4 linked regions of the Arabidopsis thaliana genome follow. The protein of the gene in region 1 binds, or shares a complex with, the protein of each later gene. Each region holds a gene or a part of one and is shown on either strand. Other genes may lie near its edges. The genes, in order: SWP, MED9, AT2G22370 and AT4G09070.

Region 1 (8,333 bases):
CGTTGATAAATAAATGGCTCCATGCAAATTATATATAATAAAATTATAACAGCATAATGATCATCAACATCATTTATTGCTAAACATCATCATGTTCATGCCCCCATGCATGATTACGATGGAAGAATCTGACATAAAAAATTGAAGGTCCAAATTGACAACGACTTCATCTTAATCTTATAATCTACATGTCAAGAATTTTATATAAATAAAATTGATTAAATTTATATAGGTGAAAAATTTCATATAAACGTGAGGAGGAGGAGGAGAATGAGATAAAAGGGTCCACCTGGGCCCAAAAACACCAACCCTGTTGAGAGATGTTAGGACCCTCGTGTGGGCTGGGCCCAGTCAAAAATCATTGTCTTGTTGTGTATAACAAACATTACAGGTTCACACGTGTGACACACTAGGTCCTTAAATGCTATGAATATATGTGATCTGATTTGTTTTATTTTACCATTAATAAGAAGGAGCTTAAATCGAACAAAACTGAATGATAAAACAAGATTTCACCACTGTATATATCGTAATACAATAATACATGCTGAAAAATATTAAGGTAAATGTGTAGATGTAGAGAACAACATGGCTTAAACACAACCAAACCCATAAATTTATTATTCATGGATATTGGATATATGCATTATATGCATTATTATAAATTAATTGACCTCGTATTAACATTTTTCTAGAAATTGGTGCAGGGGGTGAATCGCGTCTACATCTATGTATTTTACTACATCCCCGTCTGTAAGGATTCACTGGTTGTTCGGAGGGTGCACATGCAGAAGGATACCGATGATGATCACAAGGAAGATCAGGCTTCAACCCTGGATACCCAATTACTTTTCCAACCGTCATGTTCATGCTGCTTATGAACACACATGCTATGAATGTTGCCACTAGCATAAACCTATTTGTTATTTTCATATTGCTCATGATTTGTGTTTATTTATGTGTGTGGGAGAAATATATATTTGTTGGTAAGAATGGTACAGTTCGTGGTATTTATAGTGAATAAATAATTGTGAAAGAGTCTTATACAACTTTTACTTAAAAGGAAATTACAATAGGATGTTGAATTGACCGGTAGAAAATGTACCTACAGAATTCTTTAGTAATACATGTATTATAGATATAGTCCTTTTTTAGCCAAAGTAGTCAAACTAGCTTTTAGATATGCATGTTGTGGTCATAGTAATACTAATACAAAACAGTTTTATAGCCAAAGTAGTCAACAATATTTGAGTTCTATGTACTCTTTTTTTTTTGGTCAAAGAGTTCTATGTACTCTAATATAGTATATCAATATATTAGGTTTCATGTTCTTCCAGTACATGGAGGTGAAAACAAAGCACTTTTTTCTTACAGAAATTTTTTTACATCAATAATATGCAAATATCATAAACTAATAATAATTATAAATACACCAAAATAGTGTGTCAAAATTGGTTGTAGACAACTATTAGAATGAACACATCGCTGGGCTTTTTGGTATTGGGTTCAAAGTATATATAAAAATTCATGCTGGTTCTTTATTTGCCGCCCAACATAAATTAGTTGGACAAGTGAGAAGGCCTTGCTACTCCTACATGCGTTACACTATTACAGTATTACTATTGCTTCATAGAAAAATAAACCTCGTACCAAAATCTCAAATAAGTGTTTCTTGTGGTTCCTTATGAAAAATTGTTATACACTATTACAGTATTACTATTCACCGTTTATTGTCGGAACTCGGAACAACGTTTTCACCGTCCAATTGTTATACACACTATTCACCATATATACATTAATACATCACACATCTTCTACTTAAGAGTGTAGTGTACATTAATGATAATTTTGTAATTAACCTTTTTAATGATGGTTAAAATGTCTAATTAATAATTTAATAGTGACTTACTTGCTTACGTGGATAAAAGAGAGACCCCACACAAAAATTAGATTTTGCCGTCTGTTAAAAAAAAAGGCTTCTTCAGCCGATTTCTCCAAAAATCGTTTTTTTTTTTTTTTTTTTCATCTTCCGTTCAACGTTTTGCGTTCGACTCTTCCCTGACCCCTTTCAATTTTAAACCCTTTTTCTCTGTCTCTCTTGTCCGAATCAAATCCGGTTGCTGGAAAAGGGAAGCTTTGTGCTTTTGTCGTCGTGGTGGGGGAAGCGGAGGATAAGAACCCTAATTTTTTACGAATCGTGAGATCTCCTAAGTTTCTGAATCGGGTGGTGGCGATTTTGTTTCTTTCTCCGCGATGGCGGAATTAGGGCAACAGACGGTGGATTTCTCTGCTCTTGTTGGTCGAGCCGCAGAGGAATCGTTCCTTTCTTTTAAGGAACTTGTGGATAAGTCTAAGTCGACGGAGCTTTCTGATACTGAGAAGAAGGTTAGCCTCCTTAAGTATGTCGCTAAGACTCAGCAACGGATGCTCCGCCTCAATGCCCTCGCCAAGTGGTGTAAACAGGTTTGTCTTTCTCTGTTTCTCGCTAAGTATTAACGTTTTGGGTCTGTGGGTCGAAGTGAAAGTTTGAAGCTTTCTTGGACTGGAATTGGATATGTTGCAAGATTAGGGTTTGGTTTTGTTGATTGCATGATCTATTAGTTTTAAACACATTTCCCGTGGATATAGTTTTGATGTTTGTAGGATGATTTACAGACTTTGAATGGAATTGGAAGATCCTTTTGTGTGATCTTGTCCTTGATGGGTTTTTGTTGTTTGGATTACGTTGCTTGTCTACTAAAGTTTAGATTTGTCTCTTAAATTCCATGGAACTTCACATTCCAAGTAGGCTTATCAATGTTATCATGTACTTCTGTTATTTCTGCATATTTTAAGAAATTTATGACTGTAGTGTCTCTGTAAAAATTCAAGGTAGTTTACTTCAGATCAACGTTCCATTTTAAAAAATTATGATTTCATAGATTGTTGATGCTTGCTTGTGTTCACTTTCTTTACAGAGTAAGTATTCGAAAATTTATTGAGCTATTTATTCATTTTTGGCTAAACCTCCTGGGCTGCAGGTTCCTCTTATAAACTACTTTCAAGACCTTGGGAGTACATTATCAGCTCATGACATATGCTTCACACAAGCTGCGGATTCGCTGTTTTTTATGCATGAAGGTCTACAGCAAGCTCGCGCTCCTGTCTATGACGTTCCCTCTGCTGTTGAGATTTTGCTGACAGGTTCTTATCAGCGCCTGCCAAAGTGTCTAGATGATGTGGGCATGCAGAGCTCTTTGGATGAGCATCAACAGAAACCAGCTCTAAGAAAGCTGGAGGTACTTGTACGTTCCAAACTGCTTGAAATCACACTTCCAAAAGAAATAACAGAGGTGAAAATTTCTAAAGGTACAGTTACCTTATCTGTCGATGGGGAATTTAAAGTTCTTGTTACTCTTGGTTACCGAGGGCACCTATCCATGTGGCGGATATTGCATTTGGATCTACTTGTTGGTGAAAGAAGTGGCCCCATTAAACTTGAAGTGACAAGACGGCATATCCTTGGAGATGATTTAGAGCGTCGAATGTCCGTGGCAGAAAATCCATTCACAATTTTATATGCGGTGCTCCATGAGCTGTGCGTTGCCATTGTCATGGACACAGTCATAAGACAGGTCCGAGCTCTTCTGCAGGGGAGATGGAAAGATGCAATTCGCTTCGACTTAATTTCAGATACTGGTACCACACCAGCGAACCAAGAAGGAGAGGCAGATTCTGTTAGTCTTCGAACGCCAGGAATGAAACTTTTTTACTGGTCAGATTCTGATAAAAATTCTGGCCCATTTATTAAAATTGAACCAGGGTCAGATCTCCAGATTAAATGTTCTCACAGCACATTTGTAATTGACCCACTTACTGGCAAGGAAGCTGAGTTTTCTCTCGACCAGAGCTGCATTGACGTGGAGAAGCTTCTGCTTAAAGCTATATGCTGTAATAGATATACCCGTCTTCTTGAAATTCAGAAAGAGCTTTTGAGGAATACTCGTATTTGTCGAACTCCAAGTGATGTGATCCTTCAAGCCCTCCTGGATGAGCCTGGTATTGAGGTAAAGAAAGAGTTGTTTTCGGCTTAATGTTGAATATTTTGTTCCTTGAAAGTTGTAGGACTTTTTCCCAGGTCAGAGCTACTTACACTAGTTGGACATTTAGTATGTCACTTGCATGTCAATAGATAGATTTCTGTTTATGACACATAGCCCTTGCTAAATAATGCATAGCTTTCATGCTATAGACCATGAGATTAAGCATTAATAATCGCAAATTTAAATTTCAGAGATGGCCGAACCTAGGTTTCGATAATTTATATTTTTTCGAAAAAGTAGTTTAATTTTTGCAGTTCACATGGCCTATTGCCTAGCTTCTTTTGGCTGGGGAGCTAGTATAGTTAGGCCATATTTCTCTTGCTGTCTCAACAACTAATTGAATTTAATTGGATCATTTTCTCTTTCGCCATTCTTTTAGGGAGATAACATGGTAGACTCTAAAGAGCGAGTAGAGCCAGAGGTCTTACGAGTGCGAGCCTATGGATCTTCATTTTTCACACTGGGGATAAATATAAGGTATGATATCTTCATCTATGTATTGGGAGAGATCTTATTTTAGCTGACTATTCTCACTATATGTTATTGATTGCAGGACTGGTCGGTTTCTTCTACAGTCATCCAAGAGTATCTTGACCTCCTCCATCTTGGAGGAATTTGAAGATGCGTTAAACCAAGGAAGTATATCTGCAGTTGATGCCTTTATCAACTTGAGAAGCAAAAGTATTTTGCATTTTTTTGCTGCTATTGGCAAATTTTTGGGTCTTGAGGTAGTAATTGTTTGCCTCAGCTTGTTGTTCAAATTCACTCTCTGGAGTTGGGAGTGTTGACGTTTGCGTTTAATGCAGGTCTATGAACATGGTTTTGGTATAAACAAAGTTCCTAAAAGCCTCTTGGATGGGTCAAGCATTCTGACTTTGGGATTCCCTGACTGTGAAAGCTCTCACCTTTTGCTAATGGAGCTCGAAAAGGACTTCACACCATTGTTTAAATTACTGGAAACTCAGATGGATGGTTCGGGAAAACCTCAGTCTTTCAATGATCCAAGCAATATTTTGCGAGCTAAGAAAATTGATATAGGGCAGATACGGATTCTCGAAGATGATCTTAACTTGATTACATCCGATGTGGTTAAATTTGTATCTTCATTCTCGGATGCTGAGGGCATAAATCAAGCATCTGGACACCGTCAGCCTGGATTGGTTGACGAGGCTTTGACAGAAATGAGTGGAAGCCAGTTGAGTTTCTCTAGTGTCGTAGATGGAGTGTTTGGACTTCAGAAAGTGACATCTGCTCTTATGTCAATTGATGGACATGGTTTAGTTCCCAAAAATCTCTCTGCTGTTACCGGCCATGGAAAAGCTCCAATGTTGACTAGCTATCATTCAGATTCCTTGTATAATCGACAGGGTCCCTTACAATCTAGCTCTTATAATATGTTATCATCTCCCCCTGGGAAGGGTTCAGCTATGAAGAAGATAGCCATCTCTAACTCTGACCAGGAGTTATCCCTGATACTGTCTCCATCCCTCTCTACTGGGAATGGAGTCTCTGAGTCAGGCTCTAGACTGGTCACTGAATCCTCATTGTCACCTCTTCCCCTATGTAAGAACATTTTTCCATAGCCTTTTTTTTTACCTTCATAGAACTTTCTCAATATTAGAATTCAAAAATTTCCGTTATTTGCAGCTCAAACAGCTGATCTTGCAACATCATCTGCTGGTCCTTTGTTAAGGAAAGATCAGAAGCCCCGGAAACGTTCAGCTTCAGATTTGCTAAGATTGATCCCATCCCTCCAGGTAGTGGAAGGTGTTGCTAGTCCCAATAAGAGAAGAAAAACCTCTGAACTGGTACAGAGTGAATTAGTGAAGAGTTGGAGCCCTGCATCACAGACCTTATCCACTGCCGTGTCAACATCAACAAAAACTATAGGATGCAGCTATGGGAATCTCATAGCTGAAGCAAACAAGGGGAATGCACCTTCAAGCGTTTTTGTTTATGCTCTTCTCCATGTGGTCAGGCATTCTTCGTTGTCCATAAAGCATGCCAAACTAACTAGTCAGATGGAGGCATTGGATATTCAATATGTTGAGGAAATGGGACTAAGAGATGCATTTTCAGATATATGGTTCAGGCTTCCATTTGCTCAAAATGATTCCTGGCAACATATATGCTTGCAGCTTGGTAGACCTGGAAGCATGTGTTGGGATGTGAAAATAAATGACCAACACTTTAGGGATCTCTGGGAACTTCAAAAGGGAAGTAAAACCACACCATGGGGTTCTGGAGTTCACATTGCGAATTCATCTGATGTTGATTCTCATATCCGTTATGACCCTGAAGGTGTTGTTCTGAGCTATCAGTCTGTGGAAGCCGATAGTATAAAGAAGCTTGTGGCCGACATACAAAGGCTTTCAAATGCTAGAATGTTCTCCCTTGGTATGCGGAAACTACTTGGCATAAAGCCAGATGAAAAAACAGAAGAGTGCAGTGCTAATTCCACTATGAAAGGATCTACTGGAGGAAAAGGCAGTGGTGAGCCAGTAGATAGGTGGAGAGCTTTCAAGATTGAGGCTGTGGGATTAACAAGCCTGTGGTTTAGCTTTGGTTCAGGCGTTTTGGCGCGTTTTGTTGTCGAGTGGGAATCAGGTAAAGATGGATGCACCATGCATGTCTCTCCTGACCAACTATGGCCACATACAAAGGTGAGTAGTTCGCAGGACTTAACATTTGCTCTCTTCATGGGAAATATTTTTATTATAAGAGTTCCAAATATATGCTTTTTCTCATCGTGAGTTACTCTTGTACAGTTCTTGGAGGATTTCATAAACGGAGCAGAGGTAGAATCCCTTTTGGATTGCATTCGCCTTACTGCTGGGCCTTTGCATGCATTAGCTGCCGCTACTCGCCCTGCCCGAGCTAGTACTGCCACTGGCATGCCTGTTGTACCTGCTACAGCGTCTTCAAGACAATCAAATCAGATACAACAAACTCAAGGAATCATTGCCCCTTCAACTTTAGCAGCTCCTAATGCTACTGGCCAGTCTGCCTCAGCAACTTCAGGAAATACTGTTGCTTCTTCTGCTCCAAGCCCACTTGGTGGAGGTTTCCATGGAGTTGCAATGCTAGCAGCTGCAGGGAGAAGCGGACCTGGCATCGTTCCAAGCTCTCTCTTGCCCATCGATGTCTCTGTAGTACTCCGTGGACCCTATTGGATAAGGATCATATACCGTAAACGTTTTGCAGTAGACATGAGATGTTTTGCTGGAGATCAAGTCTGGTTGCAGCCAGCAACTCCACCCAAGGGTGGTGCTTCTATTGGAGGCTCCTTGCCATGTCCCCAATTCAGACCTTTCATCATGGAGCATGTTGCTCAAGAATTGAACGGTTTAGAACCAAATTTGACAGGTAGCCAAGGAGCAACAAATCCCAACAGTGGAAACCCAACTGTTAACGGTGTGAACAGAGTTAACTTTTCCCCTTCTAGTGCAAGAGCTGCAATGAATCGAGTAGCCAGTGTTGCTTCAGGATCTTTAGTGGTTAGCTCAGGATTGCCTGTGCGTAGAACACCAGGCACTGCTGTACCAGCGCATGTAAGAGGTGAATTAAACACAGCGATAATCGGTTTAGGTGATGACGGTGGCTATGGCGGAGGATGGGTTCCTCTTGTGGCTCTTAAAAAGGTTTTGCGTGGTATCCTTAAATATCTTGGAGTACTGTGGCTATTTGCTCAGTTACCAGATCTCTTAAGAGAGATCTTGGGTTCCATCTTGAAGGATAACGAAGGCGCTCTCTTGAATTTAGACCAAGAACAACCAGCCTTACGCTTCTTTGTCGGGTAAGCCAAACCAAGAAACTTATGCTCAATCTTGAAGGATTATGCTTAAGCTTATCTATTGTTTTGTTTTTTTGTTGTTTTTGTTTTTGCAGTGGCTATGTGTTTGCGGTGAGTGTCCATAGAGTTCAGCTCCTTCTTCAAGTCCTTAGCGTAAGGCGATTCCATCACCAAGCACAACAAAATGGTTCTTCTGCTGCGGCTCAAGAGGAGTTAACCCAATCCGAGATTGGAGAAATCTGCGATTATTTCAGCCGCCGTGTCGCATCAGAACCGTATGATGCCTCAAGAGTTGCCTCTTTCATAACACTCCTCACGTTACCCATATCGGTCTTGAGAGAGTTTCTGAAACTGATAGCTTGGAAAAAAGGATTATCCCAATCACAACAAGCTGGAGAGATTGCTCCTGCACAGAGACCTCGAATCGAGCTATGTCTAGAGAACCATTCTGGTACAGA
Region 2 (3,794 bases), on another chromosome or scaffold:
TGGTGTTGTGGGTTTTAGAGCATGGCCAGGAACGTAAATGGTCAAAGCATATCTACGTAAAGCCCCTTCAATGGCCGGAGTTCAATGGAATTGATGTAAACTTTTTAGTTACTAGTAAAGGTGAAGCTGTATTCTGCCCAAATCACTATGATCCACAAGTTCCTTTTTACCTTTATTACTACAATCTCGAGGAGAACATTGTGGTAAGAGTAAGAGTTGAAGTTCCAGAATCTCAAGGTTCTAAACGGGTTTTGTTTCATGCTGTTCCAAACTATCTAGAGAATATGAAGCTTACGTGAGTGTTTTATTGGGTTTTTTTTTTACCTGTTTAAGACTATTATCATGATTTCAAAATAGTGAGTAGGGATAGATTAGAAGTCGGTGTTTTTATTTCTTTTTAAAAGACTAATAGATGTGGCTTCAATGGTGTTTTGTTTTATATTTGGAGGATCATTGTGGAATAATGGTTGAATTTTCCATGGTCGCTACAATGCTTTTTCTACTCTGTTCTGAATCTAAATCACAAAACCACTCACTATGTTCAACAACTACCTGGGCTTATATCGTTTTTGGGTTGAGCTTTCTGTTGCATGTCCCACATACAAAGATTTTGGTTTGGTTTGATGCAGACAAAACACATTATGCATTGTGATCTATTTGTAATCCGAAGAATGAATTTTCTTGAAGAAAACCACATTCTCTTTATTATGTGAATCAAGATTGGTTTATTGATAACAATTATTGGTCTTAAGTAGCTAAACAGTTGCTGAATCAAAATATGAGAAACTAATGCTCCATTGTCACAATCTCTTCAATAGATTTCCTATACTCCACAATCAAATCCCTGACCAGAAGACATTTAACAACAAAAGAGTAAGAGCACGATCACAATCTGATCAGATAAAACATGATACTAACAATCTAGCTAACCTTCTCTGTTGAAGCAATTGCTCACTTTCTTCAACATTTCTCTTTTGGCCATCAACAGTCTATAAAACACAGAGAGAGAGAGAGATCCATAAGAAACAAAAGATTAAACAGAACCAATACAGAGATCCAAAATGTTACCATAGTTTTAGATCCTAGTGATCCTGAAATCGAATTCAGCAACTGTTGACACTTGTCGAAATGGCTATTCAATTCATTCACCTGCAAATCCCACAATTTCAACATCATCCAATAAGAAACCCTAGAAATCTCAAAACCACTTTAAAAGACTTGATTTTTAACAAACCAGGGCGTCAGAATTCTGATCTCGTGTTCCATTTTCGATCACATCAGCTAATTTCTCCACCATCTGCGTCATTAACACGAAATTAGAACCCCCAACGATTCCAATTTCATCAATTTTCTTTGTTTCTCTTACCGGATAGAGATGGAAATGAGAAGCTAAAGACTGATGCTGTTGAGGAGTCTGCACCGGAGTTTGAACCAACTGTTGTTGTTGCTGCGGTGTATGCATCATAGATTGAGGCGTGTGAACCATCGTCTGTTGCGGCGGAGGTGATTGTAACGACTGTGGCTGAAGAGGAGGAGATTGTAACAACCGTTGTTGTTGTTGGAATTGCTGTTGTTGGATGAAGTGTTGCTGTTGTTGGAATTGCTGATATTGTTGCATCTCTTGTTGTTGTTGTGGCTGGAATTGTTGTTGTTGCTGCTGCGTCTGTTGTTGTTGTTGAAGATGAAACTGTTGTTGTTGTTGTTGTTGTTGTTGTTGTTGTAATTGTTGTTGCTGGAGGAATAGTTGCTGGTCATGATTCGTCGGTGTACCGAAGTTACCTTGCGCCTGCACGTTTGGGATCATCGACCAATTACCTCCTCCTCCTGAGAATTGATCCATTTTTTCTCCTTCCGATCTCGCTAATTCTCCTTCTCGTCGCCGTCGTCGTCTATTAAAACTTAAAAGAACGAAGAAGAGACAAAAGTGGGAACTTAAACGATGTCGTGTTTTGACCAAAAAAAAAAAAAAATGATGTCGTGTCATGATAAAACGAAGTTGTTCTCAGTTAAGGTTTTGTTTGTAATTTACAATCGTAAAACGCCGTCGTTTCAGTATCAATCTCTTCTTCTTCTTCTTCCTCTCAAACCGAATGTTCTTCTTGGTCGGTCACAATCTGTTCTGCACGAGCACTGCACAATCACTTGGAGTCTGTGAATTTCACATCTGAAAGAAATACAAACTCCCATAGTTTTCAATTTTCACGATCTCCGAATTTCACGACTTTGATACTTGGTTTCTTTGCACATTCACGTAAGCTCCAATTCTTCCTTCTCTTCTTTTGGCAATTGATTCACATCGAATAGTGTTGCGTTGACGAGTTCTTCGTTACAGATATTGTGTATTATGGCTGTTAAAATTGAATTTGAATTGTTAGTATTAGCAAAGTAATACAAAGTTTGTTCCTTTAACTAATTTAACCAGCTTCTGTTCTCATGAACAAGTTTGTGCCTTAGATAAGTCAGATTTTTTACACTACTTGATGTACAGTAAATTTACTTGTCTTTCTCTTTAGGCGACGAAGATGAGGCTGTTGAAGGTTGCTACGTGTAACTTGAACCAATGGGCCATGGATTTCGAGAGCAACATGAAGAACATCAAGGCTTCGATCGCTGAGGCAAAGGCTGCTGGTGCTGTTATCAGGCTTGGACCCGAGCTCGAGGTCACTGGCTATGGTTGCGAGGATCACTTCTTGGAACTCGACACTGTCACTCATGCGTAAGCTTCTATTTTTAGTTTTCTATTTCGATGATGAATGGCATGAATGACTTGGTACTATCACTTTAGATGATGGAATTAATTTCTTTTTCTTCTGAATTTAGTTATCGGAATCATGTTTAACCGTTTCTTCTTATGTTCATGTGAATATCTTCTTTCAGGTGGGAGTGTTTGAAGGAATTGCTGCTTGGTGATTGGACGGATGATATTTTGTGCAGCATAGGAATGCCTGTGATTAAAGGAGCAGAGCGTTATAACTGCCAGGTTCTCTGTATGAACAGAAGAATCATCATGATTCGACCGAAAATGTGGCTCGCAAACGATGGAAACTATAGGGAGCTACGGTGGTTCACAGCTTGGAAGCAGAGAGAAGAGCTAGAGGAATTTCAGCTCCCCATTGAAATTTCAGAGGCTTTGGAGCAGAAATCAGTCCCTTTTGGTTATGGTTACATCCAGTTTATCGACACGTGAGTTTGGATAAATGCTTCCATTTCAACACTGTCAATGATTTTGTCTGCTTAACTGTATCAGTTATATTTCCTTATCAGGGCTGTTGCAGCTGAAGTCTGTGAGGAACTGTTTAGTCCACTTCCTCCTCATGCCGAGCTCGCATTGAATGGTGTTGAAGTATTTATGAATGCAAGTGGGAGTCATCACCAACTTAGGAAACTAGATATTCGTCTGAATGCTTTTATGGGGGCTACTCATGCTCGTGGTGGGGTGTATATGTACAGTAATCAACAAGGATGCGATGGTAGCCGCTTATACTACGGTATGTTTGACAACCCTTAAAATTATTGAAAGTATCATTTTTGAGTAAATCATATCTACTTTTTTGAGTGAGATTTGTTCATTTGTAACCAAGTGCAGATGGATGTGCATGTATTGTTGTAAACGGGAATGTTGTTGCTCAAGGCTCACAATTCTCGTTGAGAGACGTTGAGGTCATCATTTCACAAGTGGATCTTGATGCGGTATCCCACAGTTACCCTTTGGCTTTACTTTCTTCTGTTTTGTGATATATAAATGAAAAGTTCTTAGGATCATCTTGCTTATTTGTCTTGAGAAAGGTTGCTAG
Region 3 (3,925 bases), on another chromosome or scaffold:
GATCACCAGGCGATCTGTTTGTTGTTATAGAAGTTATCCCAGACCCGATTTTGAAACGAGACGATACAAATATTCTCTACACTTGCAAGATATCGTATATCGATGCGATTTTAGGGACGACACTGAAAGTACCAACAGTGGATGGGACAGTAGATTTGAAAGTTCCAGCTGGGACACAACCTAGCACGACGCTTGTGATGGCGAAAAAAGGAGTTCCGGTATTGAACAAGAGTAATATGAGAGGAGATCAGTTGGTGAGAGTACAAGTGGAGATACCTAAGAGATTGAGCAAAGAGGAGAAAAAACTTATTGAAGAGCTTGCTGATATGAGCAAGAACAAGACTGCTAATAGCACCAGTAGATGATTAGAAACACGAAAATTTTGACATTGAAATTATGAATCTCTCTATACATATACATTTTTCTACTCTGGCTTGTGATATTTAGAATGGCTCTTGAAAAAAGAAGAAGCAAGTGGAGGAAGATGATTATTGTTGTGGAAATGGAAGAATTTTAGAATTCATTTTTTTGTGGTTCAAATTTTTAATATGTTAGGTTTTAATAGGCTTTCAAATTGGAATTTATTAGTGATTGAATGATAAATAAAATAGTATGTAATTCCACAAAGACATTCACATTATTTTAATCATGTTCGAAGCTTCATAAACTATCAATCTACTGACAAGTGACAACAATGAAACATCATAATACCAAAAGGTTGAGAGAAGAGCAAAGATCATATGCAAGTTGTGATTTATAAAGAATATTTATTAAAGATCCCTTACTGATTCTCATTAAATAATACTTAACTCTAATGGTTCACAAGATTTCACAACCATTGTGTAATCTGGAAAATTGACTAGATTGGACCAAAAGATCTAACAAGAGAGAACACAAGAACAGTTGTTTTTAACTTCAAACTTCTTACAATGTAGTACCTCCTCCATCCGACATAAGAGATGCAGCCGCCGCAGCAGCGGTTGGCACAACCCCCGTGGAGATAGACGGTTTCGACAAGTGAACAAGCCTGAAAACACAAGGAATCATATCACTGATGAAGCTTATATCAAAGACACTATCACAGGTGCTGTAAAATATATCAGATGAACTTACGGAGCAAGAAATTCACAGAAAGATGAAACAGCAGCAGCGACTTCACTGTAATTCTCAGAAGTTGCAGGAGCAGTTACATCAACAATCTGCATACCAGGTGTTACAGGAACAGCCTCATCTATAGCATGAACTTTAGGCATCTTATTAACAGAAGATACAGAAACACTTATGTGCGCAGTCCGTTGGAAATGAAAGGCGAATCCGACTTTGAGAAGCTCATGGTCTAGTTTGTAACCGAGTGCATAGAACATACGCAAAGCATTCTTGCTTACTTTACTTTCAATCATATTTCTAACCAAAACAGAGATTTGATCAGCTCCTGCACCTCTCATCGCACCACCAACATGTTTAACCGTCCTATGGTTCTTAAATTAGCTTCCTTTGAATGAAACAAGAACATATACAACAACAACAACAACAAGAAGAAGCTGTACCATGTGGGTTCGGGTTGATCAAGATCACATAATAGCCTAACTTCTGATGACACAACTCCTGAAAAAGTGAAGATTTCACAAATGTGAATCATGTATGATTCATAGGAAGCTTCAAGTTTCTGAATTTAACAAAAGGAATTGGCTTTACCAAGATTTGGGCCGCTTCTTAAGCATAACTCATGAACTCTTAAACGTTCGCGTTGAACACCACAAAGACCTTGAAGAAGAATCTCAAGAGCTTCAACATGCTGCAAAATCCAGTAGAAAATCTAATCAAATTCTAATAAAAATTCAAGCCTAGGGTTTATCAATTGGACATCATAAGAAAGCTAAAAGCTGATCCATGAACTCGAAAAACTTGGGATTTGTTCGTCAATCAAAAAATACAAACGAACCTGTGTCTCGATGATTCCTTGAACCACACACTCCATTGACATTGAGCTATCACAAAATCTCTCAATTAAAATCGTAAATATATTCTCAACAAGACCAAATCCGAAATTGGAAAAACTAACGAAAGCTTCCTAAATCGTCCTCGGGAGCGAATCTGAGATTTTTTAACACCGGAGAATTTTAGCTAGTTACTAGAATCACTTGTGTAGTTGTTATATAGTAGTTAGCTGTAGATAAAGCAAGATGGCCTATTAGCTCAGTTGGTTAGAGCGTCGTGCTAATAACGCGAAGGTCACAGGTTCGATCCCTGTATAGGCCATTTCGTTTTTTCTTGTTGCCCCTTTTTTGGGAACTCGATCATAATAAAAACTCTAGTGCATCTCGGTCATTGATTAGTGATCACCAAATAGCCCATTAGCTTAGTTGGCCGCATGATGAGAACATAACCACCGGTTAACCGGAGTAAACCGTCATTAGTTAGGTTGAAGATAGAATTTAGTTTGTGCTATCTTTGCTAAAAAGTTCATGAACCCTAACCTAATTAGTTGGCATTTTAAGAAGTCAACTAGTTTCGATAAAGTTTATGAACATAGCAAATGATATTTATATATGGTTATTTCATCTTGGTTGTGATTACTGTAAATGTCTACTAAGTAGAATGTGTTAATTCCTTATAATTGTTGACAAGAAATATGTAGAAAATTTTGTCAAAATTATTGCGATGTTGTGTAGATTAAGTGGCCACTACATCACCACAATCCTTTAAATTATTAGATAAAAAGTTCAAAAATAAGTCAAATAACCATGTTTACGAAAAGTTTGGAGGAGAATAGGAAAAATGTAAATATATTTATTTTAGCCTCAAACAATTCTTCTCTATTTCAATAGACGAATGAATCCTCAATTTTGCATTAACTAAACCATTTTAGTTTCTTCATTCGTCAATAATATCCTCAAGTGTGTAATCATGTTAATGCTCGTCTAATATACCGGTAACTCAAACCGGCCTCATTTTAACCTACCTCACCAAATTTGTAGAGGTAGCATAATACACGGGCCAAGTTGAATATCCAAGTTGATATTTATGCTTATAATGCATCATTTATGAATTGCCAATTGTCAAATGCCAAGCATGCTTTTGTGGGAAGGCTTATGAATTGTTTACAATGATACAAGATGCAAATGTAAAACCAAATATCATCAGGATATATTAATACAAGAGTCTATGGACTTGTTTCAGAGGATGAAAAATATAAAAACAAAAAGGTGTTCAACAAAAATAGGTCAAGCTTTGGGTTGTATCCAAGTTTATGTATTAGTGATCCGAGCAAGAGAACCTATCAATGCGATACACGTGTAGCAATCATTAATCAAATCCACGTATGACGACTTTGACTACCATACACTCTAGTACTCTCTACCGTAGAGGATTACATTTTAACCCTACGATTAGTTTAATCTCTCAGTCCACCGGAGAGTGTAAAAACAGCGAGAAAATCGACGTCGTTCGATCGCCGACTGCGAGCGAAGAAGAAGATGGCTGAAGAAGAGGTTGACTACGTATTCAAGGTTGTTTTGAACGGAGATTCAGCGGTTGGGAAGTCACAGCTACGAGCTCGGTTCACAAGAGACGAATTCAGTATGGATTCCAAAGCCACAATTCGGTGTCGATTTCAATACTCGAACGCTCGTTATTGACGATAAGAACATCAAAGCTCAGATCTGGGACATCGCAGGCCAGAAACGGTACTATATCCTTCTCCGATCTTAGTTCTATCTTCTCTGATTTAACAATGGATAAAATATTGCTTCGAACTCGATGATGTTACAGTGTTGCTGTTCAATTTCGATTTTGATCTTCGTGTGTACCTGAGAGTGACCTCATTTTGACTAGAGAGTAATCGACTCTTTTAGAAGTTGGACCATTAGTGTTGGAATTGTTCGATTTTGTTCTTCGGCAACATTGTAATGTGTTGTTATAGCAT
Region 4 (3,631 bases), on another chromosome or scaffold:
TAAAAGCCAAATCCTAAGCTAAACTCAAAGCAACGAAAGCAAAATTCTGAAATCTACTACTACAACGTGAACGAATCAACAAGGCAACACCAAAAAATCCACTGACTCAGATACAAATTTCAGTCTGGAATCGTAATCAAACACATGTTTAAAACCAAAATCCAAAGAAAAATAGCTCTCTGTAGTGATTTTGGTAGTTGATTTTGATCTTATCGCTTGTTCTTTGCGATTCAAGTTTTGAAATCAGTACAAAGAAAGAACACGAGAGAAACAAGCGATTTATGTACAATTTCTCGAAGATCAAACTCGATAATGCTTCACTCTCAAGAGGAATTAACAAAATTTCAGGTTACAGAAGAAGAGATTCAAAGCTACGTACCTACACGAGTCTTCTAGAGGTTGACGAAGAAGACGAAGAAGAAGAAGAATCTAGATCTGTCTCTCTCTCTACTCGATTTCTTCAAACTTGTAGCTCTCACACTTCTTTCTCTCTATATTGTTTGTTACTACCGGTAAGCTCTGTTTGGAAGAAAACATGCAATCGCAACCGCCAAAACTTCTTTGCGTTTTGATTCTGCATTTGGGATTCTTCTCATTTATGGGCCTTAAGCCCAACTCAATGACTGACCCAAATAACTAACACTAAGCCCAATCGTAATCCAACATTTTCGCTTTATTTATGCATTTTATAGACACAAGTGACCAGTAATTGAGTTTAGGGTCAAAAGATTCATAAAGTTTTCACAGTCATAAAACAAACCAAAAAGTTGGTAAGAAACTGAATTCACAATCTGCTCCAATCTCAAGTTTACAAATTGGTCTTCCAACTTTTTAAAACTACCATTTGTTTTTCAATCCTTAATGACTTCTAAAATCAATGATACCACAAAAACTCATAAAAGTCTTTGTTGTATTATCTTTAGCCTCTCCCAGCTTGAATTGCTGCCATCAAATTAGCCATGAAGAAAGCATATCCAACAGCGGTATGTTGCGGAGTGTAGTTGTCTCCAAGTCCAAACTTTTCAAAGTTGAGTTCTTTGTTCACAAACTTACCCGGCAACGACCTTTTCGACATAGCTTCTTGCCATATCTCCAAGAACTCCTCCATCAATTTTTTTGCCATTCCCATTGATGATATAGGAAGATACTCCACCTAAATAGTACACACACATAATTATAGGTTTCAAATGAAAGTAGTGCATAATAGCATAATGGCATAAGTTGATAGCACTAAAAATTCGTATAATGAAAACTTGTTGCATGGAAAACCGTAGATTATGCAAATTTTCTTAATTGACAAATTTTCTGCCTAATCACATTAGAAACCGTCATTATGTGTGTTACCAATCATAGCTAATAACCTTTAGTTACTGAGTTACATTACAAACTCCAAATTATGAATTAACTAGAGTGTTAGATAATCATTAACATTGATTATTAATATATCTCAACGTACTCAAAAGATATAAAATTTGTTACCTCCATGACTACGCCTCTAATGGTCTCAGCATGAGTAGGAACAACTTTACCAACTCTCAAACGAAAATCCCCAAGTTGATACTCAAGCCCTTCAAAGTAAAACGAGAGTTTGCATTTGTAAGACTGAAGGCTCTCCATGATCATTTGAATTGAAGAATCTGCTTCCACGACGATCCTTTGCGACCTGATGACGAAATAGTACTTATCTGGCTCCTCCGGAAGCGAAATTCCTACAAATTCACGCGGGAACTCAGCTTGATTCGCCTGATCTTGCAACATGGGTTTGTAATAGTTGAGAGTGGCTTTCCATGTTCCCTCTTTGACGCCATTGAGACTCTCTATGCTTTGTGTTACTTCGTTTAGGATTTGGCTGCTAAATGTTGATCCCTGATTTGGTTGCCAATGCAAAAGCCTGGAAAAGTATTCCCCCAAAGAAATTTGAAAAAAGGTTAACGTATTATAAAAGAAATTACAATAATGGTTATTTAGTTTATGTAATCATCAAACCTACCATTTGACGGGCATGGCTAATGGAGGTACAACAAATTTCACTTGACAACAAAATTAAAAAAAAATGATCTCTATTAATTTACAATAATACACAAACAATAATATCTTATATAATATAGTTGTATTCAGATATATAATTTACCAAAAAACAAAATGATAAAACTTTACAATAAAGCAAAAAATTATTTAATCAAAAAATACTTTTTGATAGAATTTCAATCAGTGTTCATAAGGAAAATACATTTAAATGCTCAAATGGAGTTCATTTTTTTAATCATTTCTTTCATTTGAAATAGAACGTGGTCTATATGGAAAGGAAAATTTATTTTTAAAAGTAATTTACAGACCAAAAATAATACATATGCATCAACTTTGGAATCATAATACAAATTTCATTTTTTAATAAATAATTATAACATAGAGAATAATTAGATATTTTAGTGCATGTGCACAATTACATAAGTGTACTCACCCTTATCAAGATAAAAGGGAAGAAAATATAAATTCTTATAAGAAAAAAATAAAGTAACTTTTGACTTTAAATAAAAAGGAAACAAATCTAAGAAATTAATGTTATAATTAAATTATTTACCAAAATTAATTGAAAAATAAGAAACATTTTTTTACAAAAACTAAAGAAATTCATTAGATCTGCTATGAGTATCCGTTTGGGATCACACGTTCTGTGATAGTAGTAGATCGACAACAGATTAACTAAACGAATCAAATATGAAATATATCACTTCTTGAATACAATCTAAATATAAAATTCATACATCTCGGATAAACAACTCAATTCTGCTTCTAAGTATATTTAGTTTATAAAACGATGCTTTTTATCTTTATCTTATCTAAATCATTTTAAAAAGATGAGTTGAAGGCATAGTAAAGACTTTTAGGCTTAATAATCATCGAGCCATAAAAACAAAATACAAGATTAGATTGCGAGAAACACTTACCGATGAAAGAGATTTCTGGTGATGATCTTCTTGGGAATACGTAGTATAACGAAAAATTAAGACTCGTACACTGCATTATATAGAGAAAAGCATAGGAGTTTGTTTGTTTTACTAAGATAAAACGACCTCGTTTAAACTACCTCATTTAAAACGACTTCGTGTAAAATTATGTGTTTCTTAAAATGACCTTGTTTTTAAAAAGGTTTTCTTAGGAAATGAGTGGTGAAAACATGAATGAATCTAACCGAACTTATCCAAATTCGAATAATACTAATAGTTTAAAATCTTATAAATAGAATTATTGGAACTGAACCTTAAATCAAATTTAAATTTTATGAAACTGAACAAAATTAACTGAACGAATCAAAATTCCTAATGTATATATCTCATCTAATCATCTAAATAAAAATAAAGGTTTGATTCATGTTTCTTCTCATCTTTCGTTCATTTTTTATGCATAGTCATGAAACATTAAGGTTTCATTCCACCCAATGATATAATTTTTTTTTATCCTAGTACACTCAAAAAATGAAAAATTTATATAGAAATAAATTGGAAATTGATACAATTATATAATTGAATGATACGCTTTTGCTTAATACTAGTCAAGATGAAAAAATAAAAATAAACCAATAAAAAAAATTGAGCTGAAAATAGAGGAAAAATAATTACTTAGTTGATAA

Evidence for each region.
Region 2: SWP (region 1) and MED9 share a complex: the UniProt entries of both Arabidopsis thaliana proteins name them as parts of the mediator complex.
Region 3: SWP (region 1) and AT2G22370 share a complex: the UniProt entries of both Arabidopsis thaliana proteins name them as parts of the mediator complex.
Region 4: SWP (region 1) and AT4G09070 share a complex: the UniProt entries of both Arabidopsis thaliana proteins name them as parts of the mediator complex.

Annotation. Positions count from the first base shown.
Region 1 is NC_003074.8:1,291,784-1,300,116, forward strand, and holds the start of SWP (RNA polymerase II transcription mediator), read left to right. Parts: upstream 1-2,014; 5' UTR 2,015-2,253; coding exon 2,254-2,463; intron 2,464-3,020; coding exon 3,021-4,046; intron 4,047-4,461; coding exon 4,462-4,559; intron 4,560-4,635; coding exon 4,636-4,810; intron 4,811-4,888; coding exon 4,889-5,645; intron 5,646-5,729; coding exon 5,730-6,745; intron 6,746-6,850; coding exon 6,851-7,878; intron 7,879-7,970; coding exon 7,971-8,333. Other genes in the region: RALFL21 (RALF-like 21), read right to left, coding at 625-942. UniProt on the Arabidopsis thaliana protein: Component of the Mediator complex, a coactivator involved in the regulated transcription of nearly all RNA polymerase II-dependent genes.
Region 2 is NC_003070.9:20,552,335-20,556,128, forward strand, and holds MED9 (mediator of RNA polymerase II transcription subunit-like protein), read right to left. Parts: upstream 1,921-3,794; 5' UTR 1,841-1,920; coding exon 1,367-1,840; intron 1,298-1,366; coding exon 1,235-1,297; intron 1,150-1,234; coding exon 1,069-1,149; coding exon of another isoform or gene 990-1,068; coding exon 931-989; intron 845-930; coding exon 787-844; 3' UTR 571-786; downstream 1-570. Other genes in the region: AT1G55070 (F-box and associated interaction domains-containing protein), read left to right, coding at 1-299; AT1G55090 (carbon-nitrogen hydrolase family protein), read left to right, coding at 2,523-2,716, 2,878-3,183, 3,265-3,488, 3,587-3,690, 3,787-3,794. UniProt on the Arabidopsis thaliana protein: Component of the Mediator complex, a coactivator involved in the regulated transcription of nearly all RNA polymerase II-dependent genes.
Region 3 is NC_003071.7:9,500,095-9,504,019, forward strand, and holds AT2G22370 (mediator of RNA polymerase II transcription subunit), read right to left. Parts: upstream 2,117-3,925; 5' UTR 1,985-2,116; coding exon 1,943-1,984; intron 1,796-1,942; coding exon 1,696-1,795; intron 1,606-1,695; coding exon 1,548-1,605; intron 1,471-1,547; coding exon 1,114-1,470; intron 1,028-1,113; coding exon 925-1,027; 3' UTR 690-924; downstream 1-689. Other genes in the region: AT2G22360 (DNAJ heat shock family protein), read left to right, coding at 1-365. UniProt on the Arabidopsis thaliana protein: Component of the Mediator complex, a coactivator involved in the regulated transcription of nearly all RNA polymerase II-dependent genes.
Region 4 is NC_003075.7:5,800,681-5,804,311, reverse strand, and holds AT4G09070 (TATA-binding related factor (TRF) of subunit 20 of Mediator complex), read right to left. Parts: upstream 2,005-3,631; coding exon 1,991-2,004; intron 1,892-1,990; coding exon 1,480-1,891; intron 1,154-1,479; coding exon 920-1,153; downstream 1-919. UniProt on the Arabidopsis thaliana protein: Component of the Mediator complex, a coactivator involved in the regulated transcription of nearly all RNA polymerase II-dependent genes.